3 linked regions of the Saccharomyces cerevisiae S288C genome follow. The protein of the gene in region 3 binds, or shares a complex with, the protein of the main gene of each other region. Each region holds a gene or a part of one and is shown on either strand. Other genes may lie near its edges. A codon is read from its position in the direction of its gene.

Region 1 (4,418 bases), on a different chromosome or scaffold from region 3:
CTACATGATATTCCCTATGCCCGCTTGGTATTTTCTCACTGAATAAGACATGGTGCATCTTCTCATCCTGGGCCAACTTGTTGTAAACCTCGCTTTTCTCGATTTGAGCGAGGATGTCAACCCTCTGCAGCTCCATAGGTTGGCGGCTCTTGGTCGCACTAATCAACTCCGCTGGCGTTTGCGGATCATTCAATGATAGAACACCGGCATCATCGGGCCACGCCTTTACAAACGCACCAACTCCTAATGTAAAACCTGCCGTAGGCAAAATTACTGCCCTGTTGACTAATTTAAATAGAAATGGAATAGTTCTGGACATATTGGAACTCACCCTCGATCTATCCTGTCATTTGGTCATTGTCTATAAAAATAAATACCTTGTTTTATATCCACTTTTCGAAGCGGTCCCCTTTCGGCGATAAAGGATTTCGTAAGCCCGAAGGCTTTAAGAAACTTTGCAGCACAAAAAAAAAAAAAAAAAAAAAAAAAAAGATCATCAACTATGACGCTGCCTGTGTTGTCGCTAGATCCTCATAATTCACTATCAAGTCATTATAGTTTTCGGTATGAGTTATCTGCAACCCATGCTCATTGGCTAAGTGTAGAAGGCATATAAAACAAAAGCTTGTTGAAATGTCCTTTAGTGTATCATCCGAATACATTTTACTTATACCCTGAATGATATCAGAAAACTTGAGCTCCTTTGTTGATTCATCTTCTGTGTGGGTTTCACTGTCATTAGAGCTTTGTTCTCTATTTTTCCTACTGTCATGTTCTTGTATCAAATTGTTGATCGATCTCCATACGTTTTTCTTTAATCTTCTTACGTCAACTTTTTTCGAAACTCTTGAATAAGTAACTTTATTTTCTCGAATGGGGAACTTATGATCTTCGTCATCCTGTAAATCAAGTTTCACACTGGCCTCCTCGTTATCATCTGTTCCTTCGAAAGCTTGGTTGAAGTCAACACCGTCCATGTCATCTTCAAACGGATTATCGAGCGCTCCACCCACCACATCACCAACCTCTTTAGACTGCTCCTTTTCTTTTTCCTCTTGTTCTTTCCTTTCGTAATTATCCGCCCAAAAGTGCTCATCTGCAATAGTAGGAATGTCGTTATTTGAATGGTTGGCAGAAACTGTGCTTTTTTCAAAAAGCCCCGAACTAACGTCGCCTCTGGTATGCTTCCTATGACTGAACAGACTCATTTTCTGCCCCGGTTTAATGAACAATCTTGTTATTCTATCAGTGGAAAAATGGAAGTCATCCGGCAGTAAATAATGTGTGTCGTTCTTTCTGTTCTTAATCGGCATGTCAATCTTTGTCCTTCCTTTTGAGGCAAAGACTTTGTCTTCAAAACTATCATCCGTTTTGAAGAAATCAATTTCCAGAACCTTTTTTTGTTTATGCTTCTTCTTCGTATCCATCGATTTGTCGTCCGTTGTGTTTTTGTCAGTAGTATCTCCTATAGTAGTTCGCGTTTCTTCCAACAGGTCGGATTCTTTATTCACTAAGTTTGCTTTCTTAAAATTTCGTACTTTCCAATGTTCTCTCCCTCTCCAGTTTCTATTTAGATTTTCGTCAAAGTATGCCATCAAATCTTTTTCGAATATACTTCCTGTGGTACTGTTGACATTATCATCATCTTGTTCATCATGTGATGTATTGTCATGATTTTCATCTGGATAGCACAGCTCCTGTTGCATGCCCATATCAAAGCCATCGCTATCATCTTCTGCATTATCTGGGACAGCTGCTTGCAATTCTTCTTCAGTTAAGAAGTTATCAAATCTGTTGTTAACATTTTCGATAAAGTCTTTCGCTTGATTAATATCTTCGACAACGTTCCTTAGTTGCTCAATCGATCCTGAAATTTCACACACCGCAATTTGATCAAATTTTATAAAATCCATACCAAGAGATAAAATCTCATCTTCCATGGAAGGTGCACTAATAACGGAATCATTTACGGTTGAGTCATTACGAGTACTTATCAATGACTGGCTAGGTTCATTTTCGTCATCTACTAAACTATCTCTTTCAATTAATTCTTCTTCTTTCCTTTGAAGTTTACCTTGCCCTACGTTTTGTGTATCCTTAATTGATGCATCGAAAATGACTCTTGCAGTGTTGTCTATGTTTAATGTGTTCAACAATAAACTCTTGGCGCCACCTTCATCGAAATCAACCAAGGCCTTTTTGAATAATGGATCAATTATTAATTCCTGGTCTAGCTCTTTCATCTTGATCGTTTCGAACTCCACCAATGTTGTTTCTAAAACTCTGTTGTACACTCTCCGCCTAGTGTTATTCACATCAGGATCATTAGATATAGGCATACCAGTTAAGGGATCAATCTCTATATTTGCTTCGTCACTGTCACCTCCAAGCCCTTCACCATTTCCCCCGTTACTGTCATCTCCGTTAGATGCCCCATTCGTCTTTCTTTGTGCCAACCCGCTCAATAACTTACCTGTTTCCGTTGTCACTGAATCAACTCTCGAAGAGTAAATCTTAATACACCCATCCAAGGTTGCAGATGCTTTCTGAAAATTGATGTTATTCTCGCCATCTTTCAAAACGTCCAAGTCATAAAAATAGTCGATCAATGCGAAATTCCAACTATTTCGGGAATTGATTTTATTATCTGTAGCCATTTTGATCCATTCTTCAAAATTTGCCATCATGGTGGATCTATTGGTAAAGAGATTATATTCTACTCTTTCATCGTCATCGTTATTTTCATACCTTAGTTGTGTAGTCATCTTATATAACTACCTGCTGGTTTTTTTTGCTCCAAAAAGTCCACTAAGATGATTTTTTGGTGCAATAAATAGAGTATTTAACTAGCCAATATAAAAAGTTCAACCATATGGATATTATCTTGACAATACTTCACTAAAATGTAAACAAAGAAAGCGCGAACAGAGCCGTTTACCGTTTCGCGTGATCAACATCACATAAAATAATTAGTGTATTATATATATATATATATATATATATATGTATATATCACTTATTTTAATAATCCTCTCCTAGCGTACACGGATGGCAAGAATAAACTGGCTTCAGGAACGTTCTCTTGTCAAAAATTTGAAAAGCTTGTAACCGCCAATAGATAACATACCGAGTGTCAGAGATTCTAAGAATTTCAAGATACGTGTTTGCTTTCCAGCCCTTTCTAAAGCTCTAGAATACGAGATATCGGATCTGAAAGATATCATTGTATACAAAGGTATCCACTTATCCTTCATTATAATACTAAAGAGAGCATCTAGCTTTTTCCTTAATAAAAACCGCTTGGATGTAACGTCATGTGACATTTCTTTATAGTTCCTTTTTGCCAGCTCAGTAATAGAAACTAGGTCCTTATGTCTTGTTTGAGTGTACTCAGTAAAGGCTCTTGAACGATCTCCTGAATGCTTTTTCAATAGCGCCATAAGAATTCTCACATCTTCAAATCCGCAATTCATACCTTGGCCGTAAAATGGAACCATTGCATGGGCAGCGTCGCCGAGTAGGATGGCCTTTCCGCCTGGTACATCGTATGGCTTACAGTTTACACAGACAAGACTTTCCTTTGGATAAGTGATAAACCTTTTGACAGCATCGTCCAAATCCATAATATTAATAATATCGGGAAAGTTCTCGATTAAGAATTCCCTCACACGTGACTTGGAAGTTATCAGATCTGATATTTGATCTTTAGAACCGAAAAAGGTTGAAGTGAACGAGCCGTCACTGTTGGCGAGCGCAATTAACATGAATTTATGACGAGGCCAAATGTGCAAATGGTCAGGAGCTATTGCAAAATTTCCGCCATAGTTTGGCTTGAATTCCTCAGTAGGCGGGATGTAAAGTTCAATGTAACGTAAATTCATATATTCTTGTGAAAAATCCATCTCAACTTTACGTTGCATTTGCGATCTCGTCGCAGAGTATGCTCCGTCACAACCTATGACAAAATCATACTTTTCAGTATGTGGGGTTTTCAAATCTTCCCCAATGGCAAAATGACAGATTTGTTTATCATCTGTCCATTCGATTTTGACTAATTTGTGACCGAACTTCAGTTCTGTTGTAGATTTTTCTAATTCGTCCAAAAGGCTATTATTTAATACAGATCTATTGATAGAATTAATAGCTTCTCCATGCAAGCCATACAATTGTGATTCCTGTCTGCCTTTCAAGTCATGAATCATCCTGCCTTTCATGGGAATCATATCTTGCAGAATATGTTCACAAGCATCCGGATCTATTGATTTCAGAGCATCAATGCCACGAGCAGAAATAGCCAAATTAATGGATTTCAAATTTTTATTTTTGGTGGTGTCCAATCGAGGATCTTGTCTAAAATCATATAGTGTGACATTGTAGCCTTCTTTGGAGAATGCCAAAGCTGCAAGGCAGCCTACTAA
Region 2 (6,056 bases), on a different chromosome or scaffold from region 3:
AACGTACTTTGGAGATCTTACGTTATGCAACTAAATGAGGAAGTAGCAAAAAATGACCTAAATAATCACAGTAACAATGATAATGAAGATAAGAATAATATGATACCAATGGTAAATGAAAGTTTGGAGGCTTCGCCTGCAATAAAAGGTGAAAAGTTTGGACGTCCTTCTACATTAATAGATTGTGATACTTCAATTATCGGTAGTCGCATTACAAAAGACACAGAACTTGCTGAATTAGAAGAATTGAGCATTGAAAAAAGAATAACAAAATTGAATATATTCCTGAGGTCCGAGAAGTACTACTGTTTTTTTTGCGGAATCAAGTATAAGGATGAAGGTGATCTCTACGAGCATTGCCCAGGAGTGAATGAAGACGACCACAAATGAATTTTATCGAGATAGGTAAAGTCATATTTCAAGAAGAAAGAAATGAACAGCTTTTATTTATATAATAACATATAATATAAAACGGAAGAAACGGGTAAACGTCAGTTCGATTATTCTTTTGCGGATACAACCTTGAAACCTTGCTCCAATAATGCAGTGACGTCTTCATTTTTGTATGGTAGATTGTTTAGTACGAATGCAATATCATCCCATTGCTTTTGGGTCTCGCACTTTCTCAGTCTTCCAACTAATTTCTCGTTTAATTGCTTTTGGTGCCGTTCCTTATCGATAAAAGTTAACAGAAATTTGATGATTTTCTTGAAACTCTCCTTACCCAATAAATCATCTGACGATAAATTACTAAAGATATCGATGAATCCATTATAAATGGCGTTGTCCTTGGATGCTAACTCGGTGAAAAATAATCTGCACATATCACTTATTCCCTGGTCTGGATTGTCTAGGCATTTGGCCATTTCTCCTAATTGTCCTTTAACCTTAACCTGTCCAGCTAAAATCAAGAAGGTAACTGTCATTAAACATGTTCTTTGTACCATTAAGTTTTCATCATGCAAACGGCGATACAAATAATCTGTGTTTTCGTCTACTAAGTTGTTGAAGCATACTGCCATGTCACCTAGTCCTAAGACAGCATTTGAGCGAATAGTAGGATCAGGAGATTTTTCCATTACTGTGATTAATAGCGGCAGGCTCTTTTCACAATATTTTGATGATAAACACATTAGTTTTTCTAGACATAAGGTTGCCGTTCTTTGAAGCATTGGATCGCTAAACCTGCTTGAATTAGAAACAATCTCTTCTACAATTGGGCAAAACTTCCCTAATATAGATTTTTCTCCAAATAGTAATTCATTCTCTTTTACAAATTGAATAGCATCCGTGAAATCGTCCTCATTAGTACCTCCTATCATTTCTAGCTCTTTATCACCACCGTTATCTTGTGTGGTGTTAGTTACATCTGCACCTTGGTTTTTTACTTTACCGTTCCGAGTTTCTGCCTCGATCTTTCTTTTCTTGAATTCTGCCTCACATTTCTCTAGATAGACAAGTGTTTTAATTGCCACTTGTCCTACAATGAATAATAATTGACTGAGAGAAACAACTCTAGATGATTGTTCTAACGACAAAATAGAGTCTTCCTCTTCAGGTTTACCAAATGTCATCATTGTCTTTTCTCTAATCAGATCTGTAGCTAGTATATCGGGCTTAGAAGAGATTGTAAACAGTGCACTAAGCGCTTGTTCGCACATAGGATAATATTCATTATCCTTGGTATAGTTGATAATTATGGCATACAACTTTTTCACTGCAACATCTTCAAGCTCTTGATTTATTGCCTTGGTAATAATAGTGCTTCTCTTGGGAACCATTCTCTCTAACGCTAAACAAGAATACCGACAAAGGGTCAGATCTTTTAAACCAACGGCACCAAGTCCAATGTTTAAAAGTGACTCCAGTCCTTTTAATGCTATTTCGTTATCGGCTAACGATAACATTCCTAAAATAATAATAGAACCATGAATTTGTTCCTTAGAAAACCCTTTTTCGGAGTCACGGTTGTTCACATTTTGTTCTTTCTGCATACTGGCCTTCGATGCAGAATTGTAAATAGCCCAAAGGATATTAATGACATGTTGATCAATCAATTTTTGTTCATACATCATTCCTAATAGCTGTTCCAAAGAGGCCAAGTCTGCAATAGATGCGCCGATGCTTAGATTAATTAAATTTTTGGCAATATGTGCCGCCTTCTCCTGCATATTGCAACTATCTGGCGCGGTTAAAAATAGCTGCTTATAACATTCTATCAAATGTACTGATATACTCGTTCCTTCATCGTTTGTGCCCTTCATCCAAACCAAATGCAGCATTTTTTTTATACCAAATTCGCTTAACTCAATGTCAAAAGCGTCTGCTAAAACTAGGAAGTCCATTGATTCTAAAACTTCGTTTCTGTTCTTAGAAAACAGCAAATTAGATATCAATTCAATACTCTTGTGTATCTCTTTAATGAAACTAATGGCATCTTTATAGTAAACAATCATTAACTTTAGCTTCATGAGAACACTGGTATTTGTTGCATTTATATTCTCTACCTCATTTTCTATTCTAGAAAGTTCTGCGCTCTTATTGAAAGAACCTTCTAACTCGGTCCTACATTGACCTTCATCTTGTTCTACCTCTTCTTCAATCAAAGACCTTTCAATCGTGTCATTCAGAGTTTCTTGTGACTCTACTTTCTTTAAAGTGGAATTTAGCTGTGATTCAGATCCTTTGAGATATTCTTCCCATTCACTCAGCCTCAATTGGCTACCATGTATGGCCTTAAAAGGATGTTTTAGCAATAATTTTGAAAGTAACTTTACTGAGTTCCTACGAACTAAAGAGGAGCGGTCCTGCAATGATCGTACTGCCAACGAAGTAAATTTAGCTTTGCTTTTGTTAAATTTCGAACTCAAATCGCAGATCTTTGAACACCCTTGTATCGCCTTCGTTCTAACGTAGGGATTTGAATCCTGGAATCTTTCTTCTAGTAACTCAATAAGTACGGCTATTTGTTGTTTATAATGTTCCATAGTTTGTGGGTCTTGAGCCAATTCAGCCACAATATTTCCACATGCTTCTACAACGGAACATCTCAATGTTATAGAACTATTGTTGAGTAAGGTGATGACAAGATTCATCTGTCGAAGCATTATTCCTGGTGATAGCTCTGATAATTTAATCAAAAAATTTGATATTGCCTTTGGGCCTGTGGTATCCTTTGCGTTAAATACCCTGGTGCTGATTTCTTTCAAGATATCTTCTGTTAGTTGTGGATAGTTATATTCATCATTCAATAGTTTTAGTAATTCTGCATTAAAAACCGACAAATGAAGAAAATAAGTTAAATTTGTCATCAATGAACTTTGTATACTTGAACTTTGACCGTGATTTTTAACACACATAGCCAAAATCCTTTGAATAAACATCTTTAGTGATGATACCTTCGTCACAGGTTCAATCTCTAATAACACAAATAATGGTCTTGTGAACAAACCAATAAACAAATCCTTTTCAGGAGTTGTCTGAAATATCTTAGATAAGTTAATCTCCAGTAGCTTTGTTATAGATTCAAGCAAGTTTTCCATTTGATTACAGTCTCTTTTAAACAGCTCGACGTTTGCACTATCATTCTTACTGTTTTTGGCAGAACGGTTTAGATTGGTAGACTGCGAGGAGACCTTATGTAACTCATCTTGTAAAAACGTCAAAAGTACCTGAATAAGGTAGCCATACTCTTCTAAATGCCTTTTCCACTGCGGTATCAGGCCACCAATTTCAGTAAAGTTAACATTTGATGAGAGATTAGCCTTAATATCTTTTGACAGATTCGACAGAGATGAACTTATCAAATAGCTTAGTTGAGTTTGTAATTTCGGTGTTAAGTGCGGGAAGTCATGGCAAAGATCTATTAATGCTTCTAGTGAATCTGGACTAGCATCTATTTGTTCGGGTGAAACGGCCAATTGGTCTATGATAACATTCAGTTCTCTGGATGGGTCCTGCAAGCGAGGATATGATTCTCGATCTGTTGTTTGGAACTTGGTCAGATACTCGGAAAGGCTAAAGCCGGACATCTCATAAAGTAACGAAGTCAGTTACCACCTATCAAAGGATAAAGATATTGTTACTGCTGCTTCCTTTACCTTTCTTTTTTTTGGTCAGTGACAGGTTATTTTCTTTGTTTACTAAATGGTCGCAAGATTTTCGCGATGCGTTTAATTTTCATATTATTGCTTTCCAATTTACCCAAAGTGCAATTGACAAAGGCCATTAGTCTTTCTTTTTACAACAGTAAGAATATAAATATACAAGTGCAGTATTTAAGATACTTAATTCGAAAAGTGAAAAAAAAAAAAAAGAATCTGGAATTGGTTATTTTAATTTCTCATATGAATTGCTTTCCAAATTCTTGCAATCAATAACATTTTTTATTTATTTTTTTTTCAAGATCAGAACATGTATATATATATATATATATACTGTTCATACCAACAATTATCATTTAGTAGTAAAGTTTGTGATAACGATCAAGCTAGAAACTCCATAGATATCCTGACCCTTACTCGTTGTAAATAAAAGGCTCGCGACAAGAAAACAACGCGTTACTTGATAATAATTTTAAAATCAAACAAAAGAGGTGGGGGAAAGAAGCCCTTACTATTGAATAGCAGACATTTTATTCATCTCGCAATACTACTACATTTCTATGAAATATAACAGGTATAAAAAATGATTTCGCCCAGGATCGAACTGGGGACGTTCTGCGTGTTAAGCAGATGCCATAACCGACTAGACCACGAAACCTATTATTTATGTTTAATCCACGTTACACCACCAATTATACAAAAATAAAAAAGAATGACGGCAAAAAAGCAAAAAGTGACATTAATCATATTTGTTTATGTCTTATTCTACTGGTAGTATTCATCCATTAGTATATTACTCTCTGTATAAGGTTATAATGTTGAAATGATAATCAACTATTGTGTATGATCAATTGGTGAATAATTTGATAATTGTTGGGATTCCATTTTGCTTAAGGCAATATAATATTATGTATACACAATATACTAGAAGTTTCTCCTCAAGGATATAAGACTCAATAACATGGAAACAACATTTCTCCACAAAATTTTGTAATTATCTTTCTTCCATTTTATATGTTTCACATCCTATTAATCCTCAATTCTCGCATGTTCGGTTTCATATTAAATTTGACTACTGTTTCACATAGTATATTTGTTGAAATGAAACTCTAAAATATCATTTATTAGTAGTATTCATGTTACTAGAATCTATTATCATATGCGGTGTAACAAGATGGCATAAAGATTGGGAAACAGTCATCAAATATAATGGAAGCTGAAATGCAAGGACTGATAATGTAATAGGACAATGAAACATATAAAACGAAAGGTGTAATAATTATAAGATTTTGTGGAGAAATATTGTTTCTCTTTTATTGATTCGTATATTCTCGAGGAGAACTTCTAGTATATTTCACATACTCAATAATATAACGTTTACTAAAGATGGTGTTAACATGTTAAAAAAACTTCGATTGTTAAGAGTCCTTTTGTTATACAACTCTTTAAACGACTGTTTAAACCTATCATTTCATCACAAACTGTAAAGGTAAGAGTTAAAGCAGATATATCACCTATCAACTGCAGCTAAATATCGTGAAATGAAAAACTAATCGTTATTTGCACCAATAAAGAACGAAAATCCCCCACTGAATTTAAAATATTTCTAAAGAACTAAAGTCATTTCGACTAATGAGAAACTAAAGTCAGAAACAAAAATGCAAAAGCAATATTAACTTATGTGAGCAAAATATTTCATATCTAATCTATGAAGGCAAAAGAATATGATTAACTATTTTATTAATTTTAATTAAAATTTTATTCTCTTCATTCCAAGGATTTTGTTATTATTGTAATATGGGCGATGGTTAGGGTGACGGCGACTTATAAAAATAATCACGAAAAATGTGAATTTTATTAGGGCTAAGAGAGGTTCTCTCCTCATATTCTCCTGAGCTGTCACTCATATTATCACCTGGAAAAAATGGTAATGAGGTTGTGGTATTCAAGGGA
Region 3 (5,373 bases):
GAGTTAGTGATCATAAAATACAGCAGCTAGTTGAATCTATAAAAATCACCGAATTGCAGCTGCAAGAAATGAAAGAATTATTGGCCCAAACGGATAACACGTCGGCTACTAACCAATTACTTTGATAAAATAACATTTTTCGTTCTAATATAGTCAAGTAGGAAAATTCTACTCGACTTTATTTTGTTCTTTTGATCTTATTTCTTTTACTTTAATTATATATAGGATATTTTCTTAGGATAATTGTAATAAAATGCATTAATAGTTTTATATGTCCATTTCTGGTGCATTACTGGACATAATTTCAGTTCCTTTCACCAAAGAATTTATAGCCTTGGAATATTTCCATAATTTGTCCCACCGGGTAATGTGCGTAATGCAATAACATATAGCATCTATATCTGGTAAGCGTAGAAGAATTAACAAACCTAAGAATAAAATACAAATATGTTTACAACCAAAAAATCAACTTAAATAGATGAAGAGCTCGCATATCAATTTTAACAGACCTCGCTGAAAGACTCTGAATCCTTATCTTCTTCATCTATGGACATTGCATCTGATTTCTCGTCAGGTAAAACAAAACTTACATTTTTTGCTACAGTTGACGTGTCTTGAATACTCATGTTTTCCAGGTTTTTGGATGTGTCAATTTGCTCCGCTTCTGATCTCGTTCTTTTCCTTGAGTTACTTTGCTCTGTTGTATTGTCAACTGCCGAAATATTAACAGTTGTTTTAGTCAATTCTGTGTTATTTCCATCAGTTATATCAGCAGCGTGTTCTATGGTGTCATTTGAAGATTTATTGAATGAATTCCCCAAAATAGACGAGTATTGGTCATTCGCAGTGTTGTTCTCATCTTTTGTCTGAGTTTCTGACCTTTCATTGATCTCTTCAATCAGCGAATTCAAATTATTCCTTAGCTTGTCCAGAGCATTTTTGCTAACATTGTCTAAATTATCATTTTCTGCAATATCGTCAGAATACTCAAGAAGTTCTTTCAAAGTAGAATAATCTTGTTCAGAAGAAAGAAATATAGCGTTTATATTAGTGATGATCATCTTCTTTATTTCTTTCTTCTCAATTTGAGCGTATATTTTGAGCACATCGATCAAGAATGTAAGCTGCACTGTATCTTTTTTTGTTGAACCTGTCTGGTTAACTAAGTTACGTGGATCAGTCCAAAATAGCAACTGTTGAAATATTATGTTAGGCTTTAGCATAGCTTCACGGTCTACCTCAGGTATTACAGAGCTCTGTAAATCGTCCCAAAGAACACATAGTCTTAAGAGTATGTCCGCAGCCGTCCTAGACATACGTTGTTGATGAGCAGGATGTGAAAAACAATAGACTGGAATGCAGAAGGCAAATGCCTGTACCAGCGCTTCGTTTGAGGAATTTATCGGCGAAAAATATGACAAAACCAACGTTTCAAACAAATCATCATCAGTGAACACGTCTGCCAAAAATAGTTTGCATAAACCCTCCGCTGCTATCACCTGACATTCCGGTAAACCGTTATTCTTTAAAACCTTGTAAAATATTTTGTGCAACGAGATTGAGTCAACTTTGCCTTCTCCGTCTACCACAGTGTTCCCATGTACGGAAAAAATATCTACAATGACTTGTAACGCAATATACTTTAATGATGCATTACCTTTCGAAACGCACATACCTAAGATGTACATGTTATCAATAGCCAACTTCACATCCAAGAGACAACATAAACCAAGGTTCTTGACACCAAGCTCCCTAATATTTGGCGCGGTATTTCTAACCGCTGGTGTGATCAAAGTGTCCATCAACGACGCAATTAAAATGTTTTCTGTTAACGGTGTGTTAACTAGTTCTAGCATATATGATGACCTTGTAAGACAGAGAACAATTGTTGCTGAGGACGCTTCCTTTTCGGGTGGGAGATTATTTATTATGTCACTCTCAGATACGTTGCCGTTTCCCTGCACTAAGTTTTCTACAGCAGAATGGAAGGATGAAATATTGTCGTCTTCTTCATCCTCGTTAACTTCGTCATTATGTGTGCCGTTTTCGTCCTCTTCATCGACGGAAGTCTCATTTCTGCGATTAATCTTCTTGCTTTTTATTTTCTCTTCTTGTTCTTGTTTTTCAATATCGTCGTCTCTAATATCATTAATGATTTCTATTGCCATTGTTACAAAATCTTTTTCATTTATGGACAGACTTTTCATTACACGAATACCAATTTTAATAAGAGGTTCGGAGAGTGTAGTTAAGGCCAGCATATTTCGTACCACTGTAAGCATCGATCTCCTTCCAACCTCATCGCTATAATCATACCTTTCGGCGGCAATCGATAGTTGCTCAATAATAAACTCTAAAGTGTTATAATCAAAATGCGACTGAGAGTCATTAGAAATGTCGTTGTGATGATATCTGAGAAGAATATAATGGTTTAAATGCTCGGATAATTTTGAGGCTTCTGGAAAGTTTTCTTCCAGCATTTCTGTTATATTATTATCCAAACAGTACAAATAAATAGCCCGAAAGAGGAAGGCAATTTCTACGGTAAAGTCTTTCCAAATACTTTCAGGAAATTTGATTTTAGATAATATATCTGGCCTTGATTGAAAAAGTGCTTCTATAGCCTTAACACACACTGAGGATCTTGAGACATCCAATTTTTCTAGTAATTCTATCAAATCGCCATCCAGAGCATTTAACCAATCATGAGCAATGAGTCTCTTACACGCATTTCTCACTGATAATTCCCTATCTTCTAAACCCCACTCAATCAATTGATCAAAAATATGCGGCTCAATATCATCGAAACACTTTCTTCCCATTGATTTCAAAATTCTCGAATACACGAGCCTTCTATTAACGATGTTTACATCTCTAGCCCTCTCCAAGATATACGGTCTAGTATTATTATCATTGATCAAATTCAGCATTGCAGCCCTCCGTACTTCAGCTGACGGATCGTTCTGGATAGAAGCAACTAGAGTTCTCGTAGCTTCAAAATTTTCTTCATTATCAGAAAGCTCAGTTAAATGTTCAGTTTGCTCTTCATCCTGAAATTTAGTTAAACAAAACACAGCCTGTATCCTAACCGTTGGTTCTCTATCATAAATCCTCTTATTTAAAGACAATATTAATAAATTGAAAAGTGATTCATCGATTTCCCCTATATTATCCATTATAACGGCTAATAACTGTAAAACTCTAAATCTGACGTTCTTGTCAGGGCTTTCCACACCACGCAAAACATGTCTTATGAACTGATCGACGAACCTTGAGAATATCCCTTCTTCATCATTCGTGAGCTTATAGTTTTGTTTTTTGGCCAATATCAACTCCCTTTCTAAAGAAGCTATAAATGCAGCTACTAACTTTACTATCCTGTCTCCGATAATCTCATTCTTTTTCAGAGGAAGGATCTTAGTAACTAATTTATCGAACCAAAAGTTAAAAGCATCTTCATAGCCTTGCTCAACAGCCTTTGACTGAATTTTCTTCAAAACTGCTATATGCTTCCTGTGTCCTGCATAAGAACCCTGTGCCTTTTGAAATACTTCAGCAACTGAGTTAAAGATTTTCGTATTAATGTCAATACCATCAGGATCTTGCATGATGGGCGCGGCCTGTTAACTTCTTTGTCTTATCCAAGGCTGTAGGCATTACTGAAGTGTTTTTGTTTGATCTTCAAAGAGCTAAAAAGGTAAACAAACACGAAGGCTCTACCCTTTCATATGCGGTGCACGGATTTTAAAAGTCGCAATAACTCAAGAATACGATAGATGCAATAAATCAGAGGTAAAGTGCTTTAGGCTAATACTATGAGCAATTCAGTATAACCTGCATTATCTCCTTGTTTTCCTTTGTATCCCCCATGATTTTTTTTTCTTGTTATTCCTCTTGATACCATATTAGGCAGGATTTTTTTCAAAAAACCAAATGAAAAATTTTCAGACTGACAAGAAAAAAGCTACGAATGAGCTCATCGCTACTTTCAGTTTTAAAAGAAAAGTCAAGAAGCCTGAAAATACGAAACAAACCGGTGAAGATGACCAGTCAGGAAAGGATGATAGTGCATAGATGCAGATTTGTGGATTTCACTCCTGCCACAATCACATCTCTAGCATTTTCACATAAATCAAATATAAATAAGTTAACTCCGTCCGATTTGAGATTAGCTATTGGTAGATCTAATGGTAACATAGAAATCTGGAATCCTAGAAACAATTGGTTTCAGGAAATGGTTATCGAAGGTGGCAAAGACAGATCAATTGAAGGCCTTTGCTGGAGCAACGTTAACGGCGAGTCTCTAAGGCTATTTTCTATTGGCGGCTCGACTGTGGTAACAGAATGGGATTTAGCAACAGGTTTACCATTAAGAAACTATGATTGCAATTCAGGTGTGATATGGTCTATTTCCATCAACGATTCACAAGACAAGCTGTCTGTGGGTTGCGATAATGGGACGGTGGTCCTCATAGATATCTCTGGCGGGCCTGGTGTCTTGGAACACGATACTATTTTGATGAGACAAGAAGCCAGAGTATTGACTTTGGCTTGGAAAAAGGATGACTTCGTGATTGGTGGTTGTTCTGATGGTAGAATAAGGATTTGGTCTGCACAAAAAAATGACGAAAACATGGGTCGTCTATTACACACTATGAAGGTCGACAAGGCCAAAAAAGAATCAACTCTAGTTTGGTCAGTTATATATTTACCAAGAACTGATCAGATTGCCTCTGGTGATTCTACAGGCTCCATTAAATTCTGGGATTTCCAGTTTGCCACGCTAAACCAGTCATTTAAGGCGCACGATGCAGACGTACTGTGTCTAACTACCGATACTGATAATAATTATGTTTTTAGTGCTGGTGTGGACAGAAAAATCTTTCAATTTTCTCAAAACACTAACAAATCTCAAAAGAACAACAGATGGGTAAATTCTTCTAATAGGTTGCTTCATGGAAACGACATTAGAGCAATATGTGCATACCAATCTAAAGGTGCAGATTTTCTAGTTTCAGGAGGTGTTGAAAAAACACTAGTCATCAACTCACTTACTTCTTTTTCTAATGGAAACTACAGGAAGATGCCAACTGTCGAACCTTATTCAAAGAATGTTTTAGTTAACAAAGAGCAACGCCTTGTTGTTTCATGGAGCGAATCTACTGTTAAGATATGGACAATGGGAACCGATTCTAGTACAGAACAGAATTATAAGCTAGTTTGCAAGTTAACTTTAAAAGATGACCAGAATATCTCAACTTGTTCTTTATCACCTGATGGACAAGTTTTAGTCGTAGGGAGGCCCTCTACCACTAAAGTTTTTCATTTACAGCCCGTAGGTAATAAATTGAAAGTGACTAAACTAGATAATGA

What was found.
Region 1: the proteins of YCG1 (region 3) and BRN1 are in contact, whole or in part, in a cryo-EM structure (PDB 6YVD), measured with the Saccharomyces cerevisiae proteins. Residues at the interface, in NP_010612.2 of Saccharomyces cerevisiae: Gln215 (codon at 2,966), Arg245 (codon at 2,876), Asp246 (codon at 2,873), Val247 (codon at 2,870), Gln661 (codon at 1,628), Glu741 (codon at 1,388), Gln745 (codon at 1,376), Phe749 (codon at 1,364); in NP_009455.3 of Saccharomyces cerevisiae: His495 (codon at 1,283), Tyr496 (codon at 1,280), Leu497 (codon at 1,277), Leu498 (codon at 1,274), Asp500 (codon at 1,268), Phe504 (codon at 1,256), Phe513 (codon at 1,229).
Region 2: YCG1 (region 3) and YCS4 share a complex: the UniProt entries of both Saccharomyces cerevisiae proteins name them as parts of the condensin complex.

The regions. Positions count from the first base shown.
Region 1 is NC_001134.8:39,178-43,595, reverse strand, and holds BRN1 (condensin subunit BRN1), read right to left. Parts: upstream 2,766-4,418; coding exon 501-2,765; downstream 1-500. Other genes in the region: MRX3 (Mrx3p), read right to left, coding at 1-319; BNA4 (kynurenine 3-monooxygenase), read right to left, coding at 3,069-4,418. UniProt on the Saccharomyces cerevisiae protein: Regulatory subunit of the condensin complex, a complex required for conversion of interphase chromatin into mitotic-like condense chromosomes.
Region 2 is NC_001144.5:683,172-689,227, forward strand, and holds YCS4 (condensin subunit YCS4), read right to left. Parts: upstream 4,032-6,056; coding exon 501-4,031; downstream 1-500. Other genes in the region: CMG1 (Cmg1p), read left to right, coding at 1-390; protein phosphatase regulator PIG1, read right to left, coding at 5,912-6,056. UniProt on the Saccharomyces cerevisiae protein: Regulatory subunit of the condensin complex, a complex required for conversion of interphase chromatin into mitotic-like condense chromosomes.
Region 3 is NC_001136.10:1,115,361-1,120,733, reverse strand, and holds YCG1 (condensin subunit YCG1), read right to left. Parts: upstream 3,609-5,373; coding exon 501-3,608; downstream 1-500. Other genes in the region: YSP2 (Ysp2p), read left to right, coding at 1-125; small subunit rRNA maturation protein UTP4, read left to right, coding at 3,971-5,373. UniProt on the Saccharomyces cerevisiae protein: Regulatory subunit of the condensin complex, a complex required for conversion of interphase chromatin into mitotic-like condense chromosomes.